4 linked regions of the Ovis aries genome follow. The protein of the gene in region 2 interacts with the protein of the main gene of each other region in a pairwise test. Links are inferred from orthologs where the notes say so. Each region holds a gene or a part of one and is shown on either strand. Other genes may lie near its edges. The genes, in order: KCTD9, EHHADH, KCTD6 and DES.

What was found.
Region 1: the proteins of EHHADH (region 2) and KCTD9 interact in binary tests that used the Homo sapiens proteins (3 or more experiments, as listed by UniProt). The two-hybrid records come from large-scale screens. The link is inferred for Ovis aries from reciprocal best matches to the Homo sapiens genes EHHADH and KCTD9.
Region 3: the proteins of EHHADH (region 2) and KCTD6 interact in binary tests that used the Homo sapiens proteins (3 or more experiments, as listed by UniProt). The two-hybrid records come from large-scale screens. The link is inferred for Ovis aries from reciprocal best matches to the Homo sapiens genes EHHADH and KCTD6.
Region 4: the proteins of EHHADH (region 2) and DES interact in binary tests that used the Homo sapiens proteins (3 or more experiments, as listed by UniProt). The two-hybrid records come from large-scale screens. The link is inferred for Ovis aries from reciprocal best matches to the Homo sapiens genes EHHADH and DES.

The regions. Positions count from the first base shown.
Region 1 is NC_056055.1:40,204,681-40,207,040, reverse strand, and holds part of KCTD9 (BTB/POZ domain-containing protein KCTD9), read right to left. Parts: coding exon of another isoform or gene 2,348-2,360; exon of another isoform or gene 124-2,347; coding exon 7-123; 3' UTR 1-6. UniProt on the Homo sapiens protein: Substrate-specific adapter of a BCR (BTB-CUL3-RBX1) E3 ubiquitin-protein ligase complex, which mediates the ubiquitination of target proteins, leading to their degradation by the proteasome.
Region 2 is NC_056054.1:202,653,257-202,657,614, reverse strand, and holds the start of EHHADH (peroxisomal bifunctional enzyme), read right to left. Parts: upstream 2,810-4,358; 5' UTR 2,787-2,809; coding exon 2,713-2,786; intron 1-2,712. UniProt on the Homo sapiens protein: Peroxisomal trifunctional enzyme possessing 2-enoyl-CoA hydratase, 3-hydroxyacyl-CoA dehydrogenase, and delta 3, delta 2-enoyl-CoA isomerase activities. Catalyzes two of the four reactions of the long chain fatty acids peroxisomal beta-oxidation pathway.
Region 3 is NC_056072.1:42,983,656-42,987,843, forward strand, and holds the start of KCTD6 (BTB/POZ domain-containing protein KCTD6), read right to left. Parts: upstream 2,831-4,188; 5' UTR 2,646-2,830; exon of another isoform or gene 403-2,645; intron 1-402. UniProt on the Homo sapiens protein: Probable substrate-specific adapter of a BCR (BTB-CUL3-RBX1) E3 ubiquitin-protein ligase complex mediating the ubiquitination and subsequent proteasomal degradation of target proteins.
Region 4 is NC_056055.1:221,350,433-221,352,781, reverse strand, and holds the end of DES (desmin), read right to left. Parts: intron 1,629-2,349; coding exon 1,546-1,628; intron 1,359-1,545; coding exon 1,317-1,358; 3' UTR 549-1,316; downstream 1-548. UniProt on the Homo sapiens protein: Muscle-specific type III intermediate filament essential for proper muscular structure and function.

The sequences.
Region 1 (2,360 bases), on a different chromosome or scaffold from region 2:
GGCCTCTCATCTGACGCTCTGTGACATGTGTAGTGGCGTCAGCATCTCTTCAAAGATGGCGCCCTTCACGTTGGAACCCCTCAGGTTGGCTTCTTGAAGGTCACACCCAGACAGGTCACAATTCTGCAGGACACAAACAGAATTCATGGAACTAACAGATTAAAGGGCTTATTTGTTCCTTCTTAAAATGGTTCCTGGGGCATATCAGGAAAAGGTTCCTATAGAATAAAACTCAGTTATTTCTGGAAAACTTTCATAAGTTTTAGGAGAAAGCCATATTTTCTTCTATCTGTATTTTTTCTCTCTAGTTGATGCTTACTCAGGGTGACCACCACAAATTATATATAAACAAAGGTCAATGATGAAGCATGTCCCTTTTGAATTTTAAGCATTTAAAATCCAGAATGTATATAAACAATTTTATGGGCTTCCCTGGGAATATGGGGCTTGAATGGAAGCAGCTCCACTGACAAACTCATAGGGTCTGAGCATCAGAAACTGATTTCTGGGACCTGAGATAATCTTTATTCTTTTTCTAAAAATTTATATTGGAGTCTAGTTGATTTTGGAGAAGGAAATGGCAACCCACTCCAGTATTCTTGCCTGGAAAATCCCATGGACAGATCAGCCTGGCAGACTTACAGTCCATGGGGTCACAAAAGTCAGATGACTTAGTGACTAAAACACACATAGCTGACATACCATGTTGTGTTAGTTTCAGGTATACAGCCAAGTGATTTAGTTAAACATCTCTTTGGGGCTTCCCAGGTGGCGCTAGTGGTCAAGAACCTGCCTGCAAATGCAGGAGATGTGAGTTGGATCCCTGGGTCTGGGAAGATCCCCTGGAGGAGGGCATGGCAACTCACTCCAGTATTCTTGCCTGGAGAATCTGATGGACAGAGGAGCCTGGTGGGCTACAGTCCATGGCATCGCAAGAGAGTCAGACACGACTGAGTGACTTAATGGTTTTACCACAATCCATGAACAATAATGAAAGGCATGGGGGTGAGGAAGACTCAGATTTTTAAACAGAGAAAGGGATTTTACTTAATAATTAAATTGTATCATGTAACTGCCTAACATTAACATTCTTAGAGTAAGGAATTGCTTTTAACCCCCCAATTATGTATACAATTCAGTGAGTTTTAACAGATCTATATACAGCAGTGTAACCACCACGACTGGTAGCTGCTTTCAAATTTCCCTTGAGATCACAGAGTGACAGATGGGACAGGGATTCTGGCTAAGTCCCTGGGGATGATGGTTAGAGAAAAGGGTGACTGCACATAACCTTTATAGGATAGAGGGTTAGCAGCTGCCCCAATAGTCATCCTGATTAGTCTTTGCAATCAGATAAAGGGAGGCTTTCTACTGTTTAAATAAAGAACTCATGTGTAGTCACATGCTAACTGAAACAAAGGAAAAAGATCCTCATCTTAGGTGACAGTAACAATATTTTAAAAGTTAAATAACTGTACTTATAATAGGTTTATACCTTCAGTCAAGCTGGTTCTTTTTGCCTTCAGGTTCAACGGGGCCTGCTACTATGCTGCTAAGAGCTATCAAGAGAACAAGGTGAATTCAGATGAAAGATCTAGATGTTGGCTATGATATAGGATCACCTAATTAAGGATCGTATTTTAGACCTTAGGACTGAATAAGACTGCATAGGAAGGAAGTATAGAGTGAAAGAAGGATAGACAAAAACACAGAAACAGTACTCTTAGTATAACAAAAAAAGAGCAAGATGAAAACATTTTTAAAAAATCAACAAGCTAAATGTTAACATACTATTCTCTAGAATCCAATCTATGCCAGATTTTCTTGTATAGGTCTGTATTGTTCAATACAATACTCTTAGTCACATATAGCAGTTTACATTTAAATGAATTTTAATTAAACACAATTTACAAATCCATCCCTCGGTTGCTCTGGCTCAACAGCCAGATGTGGCTGGTAGGTGCTGGACTGAATAGCACAGCCACAGGACATGCCCATTGTTGCCGAAAGAGCTGTCAGTGATACACCCCCATTAACAGCTGTGCGGTCTGCCAGCTCAATCTGCAACTCAAGATGATATATACCAGACAATTCTGATGAAAAAGATGACTGGCTGCACAGAATCAAAGTCTCAGGCTGAGATTCAAAAAAGAATATGATGCCAATTTAGAACAGGCTTTCCCTGAACCTGATTTCAAACATTTCAATTTCTCAACAAGTTTAAGAAATAATCTGACCCCATTTAATTGTTTGGAATTCAAATTTAAGAAAAGCACAATCAAGTGGATTAAAAAAGCATATATCAAATGTTATCTACCTGAGGGAGATCCAAGGAAAAGAGGAGAAATCAGCTCAGATTG
Region 2 (4,358 bases):
CTATGTAAAACATGGATTACTGTGTAGAATATAATTAAAAATTATATAAAAGCCATTGTTTTGGGAGACAAATCTAGTAATTAGGCATCTCCTACATTTATAAAGAGGGTTGGCATTTATCCAAATAGAAATCTCGCTTAGCTAAAGGAACAAAGAAAGATTTGAACTGTTTGGGCCAAAATATATTCAAATAATCTCTCACTTATCTAAGAAGAAATAGTTACCCAAATAAAATTAGAAATAGGAAGGAGGAAAGGAAGGGGAGATGAAAAGCGTAAAGCAAAAAGAGAGAAAAAAAGGGGGGGGGGACCTGTTAAACTGGATGAGCGTGCTAGGACACATACCTTCACCTAAGTACAAGTTTAAGAGGAAAGCGCAAAAAAGTGTTTATCGCCAAATGGAGAAAATCCTGATGCAGCTGCAATGAATCCTGAGCAGCAGGGCCTGTTGGTAGGGGCTTGTAACAGGCCTTTTGCCTAATAAAAATAATGATAGCTGGTGGTGCAGTGGTAAAGAATTCGCCTGCCAATGAAAGAGATGCAAAAGACGCGGCTGAGTTGGAAAGATCCCCTGGAGTAGGAAATGGCAACCCACTCCAGTATTCTTGCCTGGAAAATCCCATGGACAGAAGAGCCTGGTAGTCTGCAGTGCCTGGGGTCAAAAAGTCAGACACAACTAAGCGCGCACACACACACAACATCTAAGTGTCAGTTTCTAATCGGCAACACATTTAAACCTCACAACTTAATGAGGTAGGTACTAAAATTTCTTCTGCAACGGGGAAAGGGAACAGGTTAAATACCAGACACATTTTAAGTAGTTATGGGAAAATATTCCTAGTTATAGGTACTAAACTGTAGAACCATTTTCCCCAAAGTTAGAGATGGGCACAGTTATCCATTATGAGAGATTAAGGCAGAGTCCTAATACTTAGTAATTTTAATTGAAATACAAAGTTCAAAATTGATATGTAATTGTAGTACTCCTGTTTTTCTTCATCAAAACCGAAATAACAATATTTTGCTTTATTCCGAGTGGCAAGTAAGTGGACTTATTCTTTGTGTGATTTTATTTCTGAAAATTTTTATATTATTAAATGCAAAATTTTATATTAAAATAAAAGTTATAATATTAATGCTAATGATAAAACCAAATCTGCTGACAGGACAAAAATTCAGTTAAAATTAGCATGTCTTCTCATTTCAGTCTCTTTTTGCTCCAGCAGCATGCAGTAAGGATTCTGACCAAAAGTCGTTCTCTTTATGCTTTATATGTTCTCTGTAAATGATCATTTCCCTACTCCCTGTGGACGAGTGGTTTTTTCCCCAGGTTGATCACTATACTTTTTTCAGAGATATAAAAGAACCAGGTGGTGCTAGTGGTGAAAACCTCCCTGCCAATGCAAGAGGCATAAGAGTTCAATCCCTGGGTGGTAAAGATCCCCTGGAGGAGGGCATGACAACTCACTCCAGTATTCTTGCCTGGAGGATCCCATGGACAGAGGAGCCTAGGGGCACACAGTCCATAGGGGCACACAGACTCATACACGGCTAAAGTGACTTAGCACAAACCTATATATCATTAATTTTCAAAATAGCAGCATTAATCTCACTTTTTAAAGTAATGCTTTTACTAGTTTAACAAGAAAAGTACTCCACGATAAAAGAACATAAACGGCACAGCAGTTTTTCAGGAAATGCTATTTAATAGGCTAATTCTGACATGAGCTTATTCTAACATGGATCTTCACCAAAGCACTAAGACCTTGAAGTTTAGAACAAACCAAGAGATACATCTTTGTGTTTCTGGGCCAGGACATAATTCTCTTTTACTCAATATATTGGCATTAATGGGGATCTTTATTTTTAACAGTGTGAAGCCACCTTATTTTTGGACTCCCAAAGCTTTTAGTCACACATTGTAAGGGTGGCCTGGACTCCAGGTTGGGAAGGGAGGGATCAAGGTCCAGGCAGCACAGCACTAAGACCTCTGGACTAGAAAGTACATCTGAGAAGTCAAAGTTGCAAGTAAGCAGAAGAGTGCAGCACGAAGTTGGCACGGACAGAGGCACTAAGACCTCTGGACTAGAAAGTACATCTGAGAAGTCAAAGTTGCAAGTAAGCAGAAGAGTGCAGCACGAAGTTGGCACGGACAGAGGCACAAAGACCTCTGGACTAGAAAGTACATCTGAGAAGTCAAAGTTGCAAGTAAACAGGAGTTCAGCACGAAGTTGGCACGGACAGACCGGTTCGGGCGCAGCTCCCCAATTTCTAGCTGTCTTCCTCTCAGCCTCGGTTTCTTTATCAGCGAAACGGAGATGAGAGGTCTCTGCAAACAGGTACCGAGGCTACCAATGTAAAGTGAAAGTGAAGTCGCTCAGTCGTGTCCGACTCTTTGCGACCCCATGGACTGTAGCCTATCAGGCTCCTCCGTCCATGGGATTTTCCAGGCAAGAGTGCTGGAGTGGATTGCCATTTCCTTCTCCAGGGGATCTTCCCGACCCAGGAATCGAACCCGAGTCTCCCGCATTGCAGGCAGACGCTTTATCGTCTGGGAAACCACAACGTAAAAGGTCCTGGCATTTGCCCTGATTCTATCCGTGTCAGTGTCTTTCTCCGTTTAAACCAGCAGGGGGAAGTCAAAGCCTCCACTTGAGGCAGGCAGGTACGCCCCTGCTCGCCCTCCCCAGACTGATCGCCGAGAGCCCGTTACCTGATCGCATTGACTGGCGGGTTTCGTAGACGGATCAGTGCCAGGCTGTTCTGCAGCCGCGTGAACTCAGCCATGTTTGCTCAGTTGCCCCAAAGTCGCCTCACCCCTCAGCTGAGAGGCAAGATCACTTTCGCTGGGCGCGTCCTGGGGAGAGGAGGGGCGTCTGCTGGGCCAATGTGAACCCGGCACCGCCTCCGGCCCCAGCACCGCTTCCCGCCCCGGGACGCTCCCGGGCTCTGATGCCCATCCTCCATCTCAGTCCTCCTCCTTCCCTGACCGCAGCCCCGTGCTCAGCACACCCTTGCCGTCTCTTCCTCTTTGCTGGCCCCTGTCCTGCTCCCATCACAAAGTAGGTCAGGCAGGAAGTTGGAAGATGCGTGAAATTGCCAGTAAGTCCAGATTTGCAAACCCCTGGCCCAGAGGGGCTGGCTTCCCTGGACAAGTTCTAGATGCACTAAGTTGGTGCAGCTTCATCACAGTCTTCATTATCCTTCTTAACAAAGACAGATATGTGGGATCCTGACAATTATATGATATGACACATACCTGGAACATATAAAACACTTCATGCATTTCATCTAAATGAGTAAGGTACTAATATCAACCAAACATGTACAGAACTGTCATGCAGCAACCTTGTGGAACATACCACTTTCTTGTCTGTTCAATCCTTCCAGTTTTTTTTTTTTCCTTCTTCTGGCATTCCTAAGGATTATTTCTAAGATTAATACTTCAACTATGAATCGAGCAACTATTATGTCCTAGGCAGCAGGCCAAAGACTAAAGATAAATGAGGCTGGGTTCAGAATGGGACAAAGTTTTTGAAGATGCAGTTGGCCTCAGGTGGTCTCCACAGCCCATCAACTGGCCAGAAGGCAGTCTGGAAGTTTCAGAGGAAAAACAAAACAATGGAGTGGTTTTATTCACTGACGTTTCACAAATTTCAGCAACGAGGCTGGATGGCATCACTGTCTCGATGGACGTGAATCTGAGTGAACTCCGGGTGATGGACAGGGAGGCCTGGCGTGCTGTGATTCATGGGGTCACAAAGAGTCGGACACGACTGAACGACTGAACTGAACTGAACTGAAGGATTATTTTCACAGACATTCTTTTCAGTTCAGTTGCTCAGTCATGTCCGACTCCTTGCAGCCCCATGGACTGCAGCATGCCAGGACTCCCTGTTCATCACCAACTCCTTGAGCTTGCTCAAATTCATGTCCATTGAGTCAGTGATGCCATCCAACCATCTCATTCTCTGTTGTCCCCTTCTCTTCCTGCCTTCAATCTTTCCCAGCATCAGGGTCTTTTCCAAGGAGTCAGTTCTTCACATCAGGTGGTCAAAGTATTGGAGTTTCAGCTTCAGCATCAGTCTTTCCAATGAATGTTCAGGACTGATTTCATTTAGGATTGACTGGTGTGATCTCCTTGCAGTCTAAGGGACTCTCAAGAGTCTTCTCCAACACCACAGTTCAAAAACATCAATTCTTCGGTACTCAGCCTTCTTTATAGTCCAACTCTCACCTCCATACATGACTACTGGAAAAACCATAGCTTTGACCAGATGGACCTTTGCTGTCTAGGTTGGTCACAGCTTTTCTTTCAAGGAGCAAGCATCTTTTAATTTCATGGCTGCAGTCACCATC
Region 3 (4,188 bases), on a different chromosome or scaffold from region 2:
AAAAAAAACTGGTAACAATTTTCTACATTAGCAAATGTGAAAAACACACAATTCAATAAGTGAATGACTTAAAGAATAACGTAAGAACCCCTGAAACTCATTTTCCTCACCACAGCAGAACTCAATTACAGGCTTTGTGGTTATGATGAACTAATGAAACACACATATTCTGGGCTTATCATTTCTGCTACAGACTAAGAATTCTCTGGAATAAAACTCCTGCTCCTATCCTATATAATAACTTATACACTGCAATACACACCTCCAAACTTGAATAAATAATAAACACATAACTATTTCCTTCCCTAAGTTTCCAGGTAGCCCTTTTAAAACGCCTTTCTACTGAAATCTTTGTAGCTGGCATTCAGAAGAGACAACTCAACAAATTCCATCTATACATACCTTCAAAATCACCTTTGTGCTGAATTTCTCTGTTCTTGAAATGTGGGAGCTTTTCAAAGTGAAATACTTTTTATAGTAACTAGTTCATCAACTAAAGGAGTCTTTGGGGTTAACATTCACATACAGGCTGGTTTAAGTAGCCAGGCACAGAAGGAGAATGTGATTATGGTGTTAGGTTACGCTTGACCATAACCAATACACAAACAGACCGTTTCATCCAAAACCTAATCCTTTTTTCTCTCTGCCCTCTCCATGTGGTCTACAAAAAAGGCGCTCTAGGTTGAAAAGTGACTTTTCCTACTGAAGAGCTACCACAAATAGTCACAAAACCATACCATCCCTCTTACCTTAATTTCTGTAAGATAAAACAGAATAATACCACATTCCCAAAAGGAACAGTACCACTTAAGCACAACACAGAGGCAACACCTGGCCTACAGGGTGACAGATGGGGGCCTGGGGTTTGAGGTCATAGACAGGTCAGAGCAGGAGAGAGAAAAGGCCACAGGTGAGGATCCTTAAGCCAGCTTGGCTTCATGACTAATTATAAGACCCAGAGTAAATCACTCTGTATTGCCCACCTGCTTCTTGGAGAAAAAATAAGTGAGATCATGAATCGAAAATTTATGGGTAAACTGGCAAATGTGAAACACTACTGGCAGTAGCATCCTTACAATTTCTGTGGCGAACTGAGAAACCGGAGTGTGGACACAAGTAATTCAGAGCGTGGGCATGGAGACCGGGCAAGTATGGAAGAGGAGGGCACTTAATGTGCTTCCAGTCTCCCTCATCCCGTCCTCCTTTTCCTGGAGCCCCACAAGGGAGAACCACAGGTAAGGTGGAGCATCTGGCTTTCACAGAGACCACCAGACGTCTGACCTCTTCATCACAGAAGGAAGGAACTCTAAAGCATGACTCGGGATTATGTCCAAGGTAAAGCCAAATCCAAATGAGTATTTGGATTCCATTTTCAATAGACTCCAAATATCACAATCCAAGACACGTTCAGTGATTCACAGATTCACTCTAAAATTTCTTCATGTAGTAATGCTTTAAACTGTGACAAATTAAAATTTAAATGACATGAACCTTAGAAACAGCATCTATGGTGGTCCTCACCACTCAATTCTTAATATTTATGATGTTATGCAAAATGAAGTACTAGTATGGTCTGATCAAAGAGCAAGTTGTCTCAACCTACCAACCATGCAGGTTAAAAAAGAGATTTTCCTTTTCCTAGCTACACATCTGTTTGTTCGAAAACATCTCAGTCCTGGGCTCAGTCCTGTGCTAAACGCTGTCCCCTCGCTTCTTTCCTCTCTTGGAATCGTTCATATACTCAGGCGTTTGTGAGAGCAAAGAAAATGCACATACCAAGGGGAAACGGTAAGACACGCTTAGGCTACCCCAAACGCTCTTGGCCAAACCAAGTTACCTCAGGTCTCGGGGCACTCAAACCTCTTCTATCACAAAGCCCTAAAATTGGAAGTAGCCAACTTGTTCCAGAACTGGTATAGTTGCAGAAACATGATAACTTCAGCACAATATCCAAAAAGGATCTCTGCTTCGTTTCTGGAGTCCCACCCCTCAGACAGCCTCCACCACTGACAGCCCAGCCCGGCAGGTGCTTCAGGGGCTCCTCACCACCACGGCCATTTATCACCTCTGACGTCCAGCATTAAGAATGCCCTGGGCACACACAAATCTGGGCATTAAGAACTCAGCTGCGGTCAATCCCTCTTTGGGGCAGAAAAATCCCCTAAGGCAGGGTTCAGAAGTCCTGCCGGGGGCTTTAAAATAAGGAAAACTGTAGCCAATAAGCACCACCCACAATCAATCATCTTCCAGCAAACCTTGAGGTGCTCCCGTCCCGGCTTCACTGCTGCCCACGGGCAGAGTCCCCCACCCCGACCCGGGCCCCGGGCGTGGGACGGGAGACACTTGGGGCCCGGGCATGGGGCGCGCACCCGAGCCCTAAACCCGGGTCCGCCGAACCCGCAAGTCCCAGCGGGGCAGGCCCCGGATCCTCCGCCCAAGGCCGGCCTCTGGTCGCGGGCAGCCCGCGGCGGGTTCGTGCCAGCCCCGGAGCGCGCCGCCTGGACTCCCCGAGGTCCCCTGAGCGCGGCCCCGCCACCGCCCGGGTTCCCCTCAACCCCGCTGCCGGGCCGCTCCGCGCGGTCTTCTGCTAGAGCCCAGCCCTCCCGAGCCCCGGGCCTCCGCGTCGTGGGCCCGCCCCTACTCACTGCGCTGCGGCGGCGGTGGCTGCCGGGCCGGGAGACGCCGGCGGCCGGAGAGCGCGAGCGCGAGGACGAGCGAGCCCGCGCCCGGTGGCGGCGGCGGCGGCGGCGGCAGAAGGGACGACTGAGCCCGCGCCCGGAGTTGCGGCTCCTGCCGCCCGGAGCGGGCGGCGCCTTTCCAGCGGAGACACGGCGCCACAGGCGCGGGCGCCCCCTAACGGCGTCGCGGGCTAGTGACCGAAGGGCCGAGCGGCCGGAGAAACTCAAACCAGGCGTAGCCTGGGCGGCTCCTTCAGGCTGGCTCCGCGGCAGCCCTGAAGCCCCGCCCCGACGCCCGATCCCGCCCCCGAGGCTCGGGCCCCAGACCCACGCGCTCCGCCCAGAATTCGCCCGACATCCCGCCTCCGCCCGCACTGGGGGATCTGCCCAGCCCCCGGCACTTTTCGCTAGGGCTCAAACCTAGTTTCTCCGGTCATTTTACGAATACTTAAGGGATCCCAACCAAGTGCCAGGCCTGACGAGTAAAGCGGTCACCAAGAAGGAGGGGCTTCCTAATGAAAGGAGAAACATTAAAGACCCAAGTAAACAGCCGACAAAAAAATGACTACAAAAAAAAGTTATGATTATAAAATGTTGGGAGGTACATGAATTCGATGGAGAATAAGCGGAGGGGGCCTCTGCTGCAGATACGGTGACTATACAAGATCTGGACTCTGGAACTGTGGTCCCAGGACTCCTGGCCTTACCCTCTGTGGGATTGATACGGTCACCTCTCCAGTCTGTGGGCGGAGTAGGGAAAGACAGCCAGATGGAGAGAAGGGCAGCAGAGAAAACGACCAGTGCAAAGGCTCTGAGGACTGAAGGAGCCAGCCCTAGAGGAAGCTGGCACCAATACTGTCCTCATTTCACCACGAAGGAAGCCAAGGCTGCAAGAGTGGGAATTACCTAAAGTCTGAGCTAATTGGTTTCCAAACATAGATTCCTTCCAAACAGAACTCACTTCTGGCTAACCAAATCCCCATCCCTTTCCAGGTGGGATCAGGTACAGGGATTTTGCCATTTCTCCTTCACAATAAGCAAAAGAGTTCAGAGAAACGTCTATTTCTGCTTTATTGACTATGCCAAAGTCTTTGTTTGACTGTGTGGATCACAATAAACTGTGGAACATTCTGAAAGAGATGGGAATACCAGACCACCTGACCTGCCTCTTGAGAAATCTGTATGCAGGTCAGGAAGCAACAGTTAGAACTGGACATGGAACAAACTGGTTCCAAATAGGAAAAGGAGTACAGCAAGGCTGTATATTGTCAACCCTGCTTATTTAACTTATATGCAGAGTACATCATCCCAGAGAAGGAAATGACAACCCACTCCAGTATTCTTGCCTGGAGAATCCCAGGGACAGAAGAGCCTGGTGGGCTGCCATCTGTGGGGTCGCACAGAGTCGGACACAACTGGAGCGACCTAGCAGCAGCTCCAGAGTACATGAGAAATGCTGGGCTGGATGAAGCACAAGCTGGACTCAAGATTGCTGGGAGAAATATCAATA
Region 4 (2,349 bases), on a different chromosome or scaffold from region 2:
GTCTTCTTTTCCAAGGATGAGATAGAGCTTTCTGTTTTTCTTAACAAGGTCATTTTTCCTGAATTGGCCTTGGAGCTTCGAAGATCCAGGTTTAGTGCAAAGAGGGTGTAAGCTACCTTAGGCAAGGACCACAGGAGCCCTACTTCAGAGCAGTGCGTGGGGGCAGTCCTGGTAATGGGGCATAACAAGAGGTATGTGTGAGTCCCCAGCAAAAGCCCCCTCCCCCATATGCTACACACATACAGCCAGGCTGCGAGGCTCTGGGAACAGAAGGGGTGGCAGGCCCTGGGGGACAGTCTGGCTGGGTAGGAAGGCAGCACACAGTTCACCTCAAGAAGCGATACAAGGAATTTCCTGGTGGTCTAGTGGTTAGGACTCCATGCTTCCCTTGCAAGGGCACAGGTTCAATCCCTGGTCAGGTAACTAAGATCTCGCATGTTGTGTTATGTGGCCCAAAAATATTAAAAAAAGAAAAAAAAAAAAAAAAGAGGTAGTGTGACAGGGCTCTCTCAGAGAAGACCTGGCAGTCAAAACAGCAGGGGCCGTGCTAGGCTTGTGCTTATCTTTTTTATTGTTTCTTTCTGTTCAGAGCCCCTGCAGCGGGGAAGGGGCAGGCACGGGGAGGTGAGCCCCCCTGCCACCTGCCTGAGACCGCTCTCTCCTCTCTCCTCTTCTCTCCAGCATCTCGCCCACCCTCTCTCTTTCTGCATCTCCTGCTCCCACATCTGGCACCTTCGGGGGTTCTCTCTTGCAGCCCCTGCCTTGTAAGCCCACCTCGGGAAAGTAAGGGACCATGGGGTCAGTCTCGAGCCCCCCAGTCTCCACGGGGGTGGGGGCTATGTCCCCAGTTATCTGCATGGCTTGCCGAGGATGCTGCCTTTCTGACTCAGGCCGGGGAGGGGGTAATGGGGAGGTCCACAGGGCTTGACCTGACCCTGAGGGGTTCCTACGTCCTGCTCTGGAGTCCCCTCCAAAGCCATATGCTAGAGCCTGAAGTCACGGAGGTGGGAAGGGTAAGGTCACTGCCATGTCTTGGCTCCAGCCTGGCCCTGCCCAGCACATTCCAAGGGCGGCCCAGGGCCAGGCCCCCTCACTTCAACATCCAGACCTCACACGACAGGGGCTCCCTGTGCCCGGGAGGGTTGGGCCAGGTCCCCTGTGGGGACCAGGACAGGTGGTCGCAGTGAGCAGGGGTCAGAGGCTGTGAGCGGAGCACTGTGGCTGGGGGTGGTGCCCTGGGATGGAGGGAGGCTGGCTTTAGGAGGCAGTGAGGACAGAGGTGAGCACGGTCTCTGGCGGCAGAGAGGTCTCTGGCTTTAGAGCACCTCATGCTGCTGCTGTGTGGCCTCACTGACGACCTAGAGAGGAAGAGAAACCCAGTCTAACCCAGGGCTGGCCGGAGAATGGAGTCATGACCCCGGGACACCTCCTCCCCAGCATGGCAGACCCTTCTGCCCCCAGGCAGAACCAGCACGGCTGGTAGAAGACACCTGGCTGACAGCCCCCCCCAACCTCAGGGGTAAGGGTTCCAGGCAGACCACTCACCTCCCCGTCCCGAGTCTCGATGGTCTTGATCATCACCGTCTTCTTGGTATGGACCTCAGAACCCCTCTGCTCAGGGCTTGTTTCTGTAACAGATTCATCCACACGCTCAGCCTGACCAAGGCCAGGCCTGGCTGTTCCTGTGGCTGGGAGTCCTTCCCTGGTCTCACTGGGCAAAGCCCAGAAGACACCCACCCCCTCAATATGGGCCTGTTACTTTTTCAGCAAAACATCTTCCTTGTGCCCAGCACCCAGTAGGTGGCTCTGCAGACCCAAGGGGCTGCCCAGGGCTGAGCTAAGACGAGCCAACAGGTGTGCTCCAGGTGTTGGCAGGTTCAAGAGGGTGAGGGATCACCTAGGCCCCAGGCCACCCAGCATTCCCGCCCCCTCACCGACACCCCTCCTCACTCCCCCTCCACCCCTGGTCCCCAGAAGATCCCTGCAGGAATTTGAACCCTGACAGTGAGGACCCTAGAGCCCAGAACCAAGGCACTCTTTTGAAGGATCTCATGGTACCCAGCCCCTTTTGACTCCGGATGAACAACTTGATGTCTTAATGAAAGAGAGATGGACAGGAATCAGTCACTGATTTATTGTGCAGATGGCCAGTCACTTGTCCCTCCATGCCTCAGTTTCCCCACTGTGAAATGAACGGTAACAGCAGTACTTGCCCTGTCATGGCCCAGAACTACTGACTTGAAAAACCATTAAGTGATTTTAAATGCAAGGCTCACACTTGGTATCTGCATAAACTGCTAACCGAAGAGAGCCATTCTGAGTTTTATTGGAAGGGTCAAATTTAGGTCC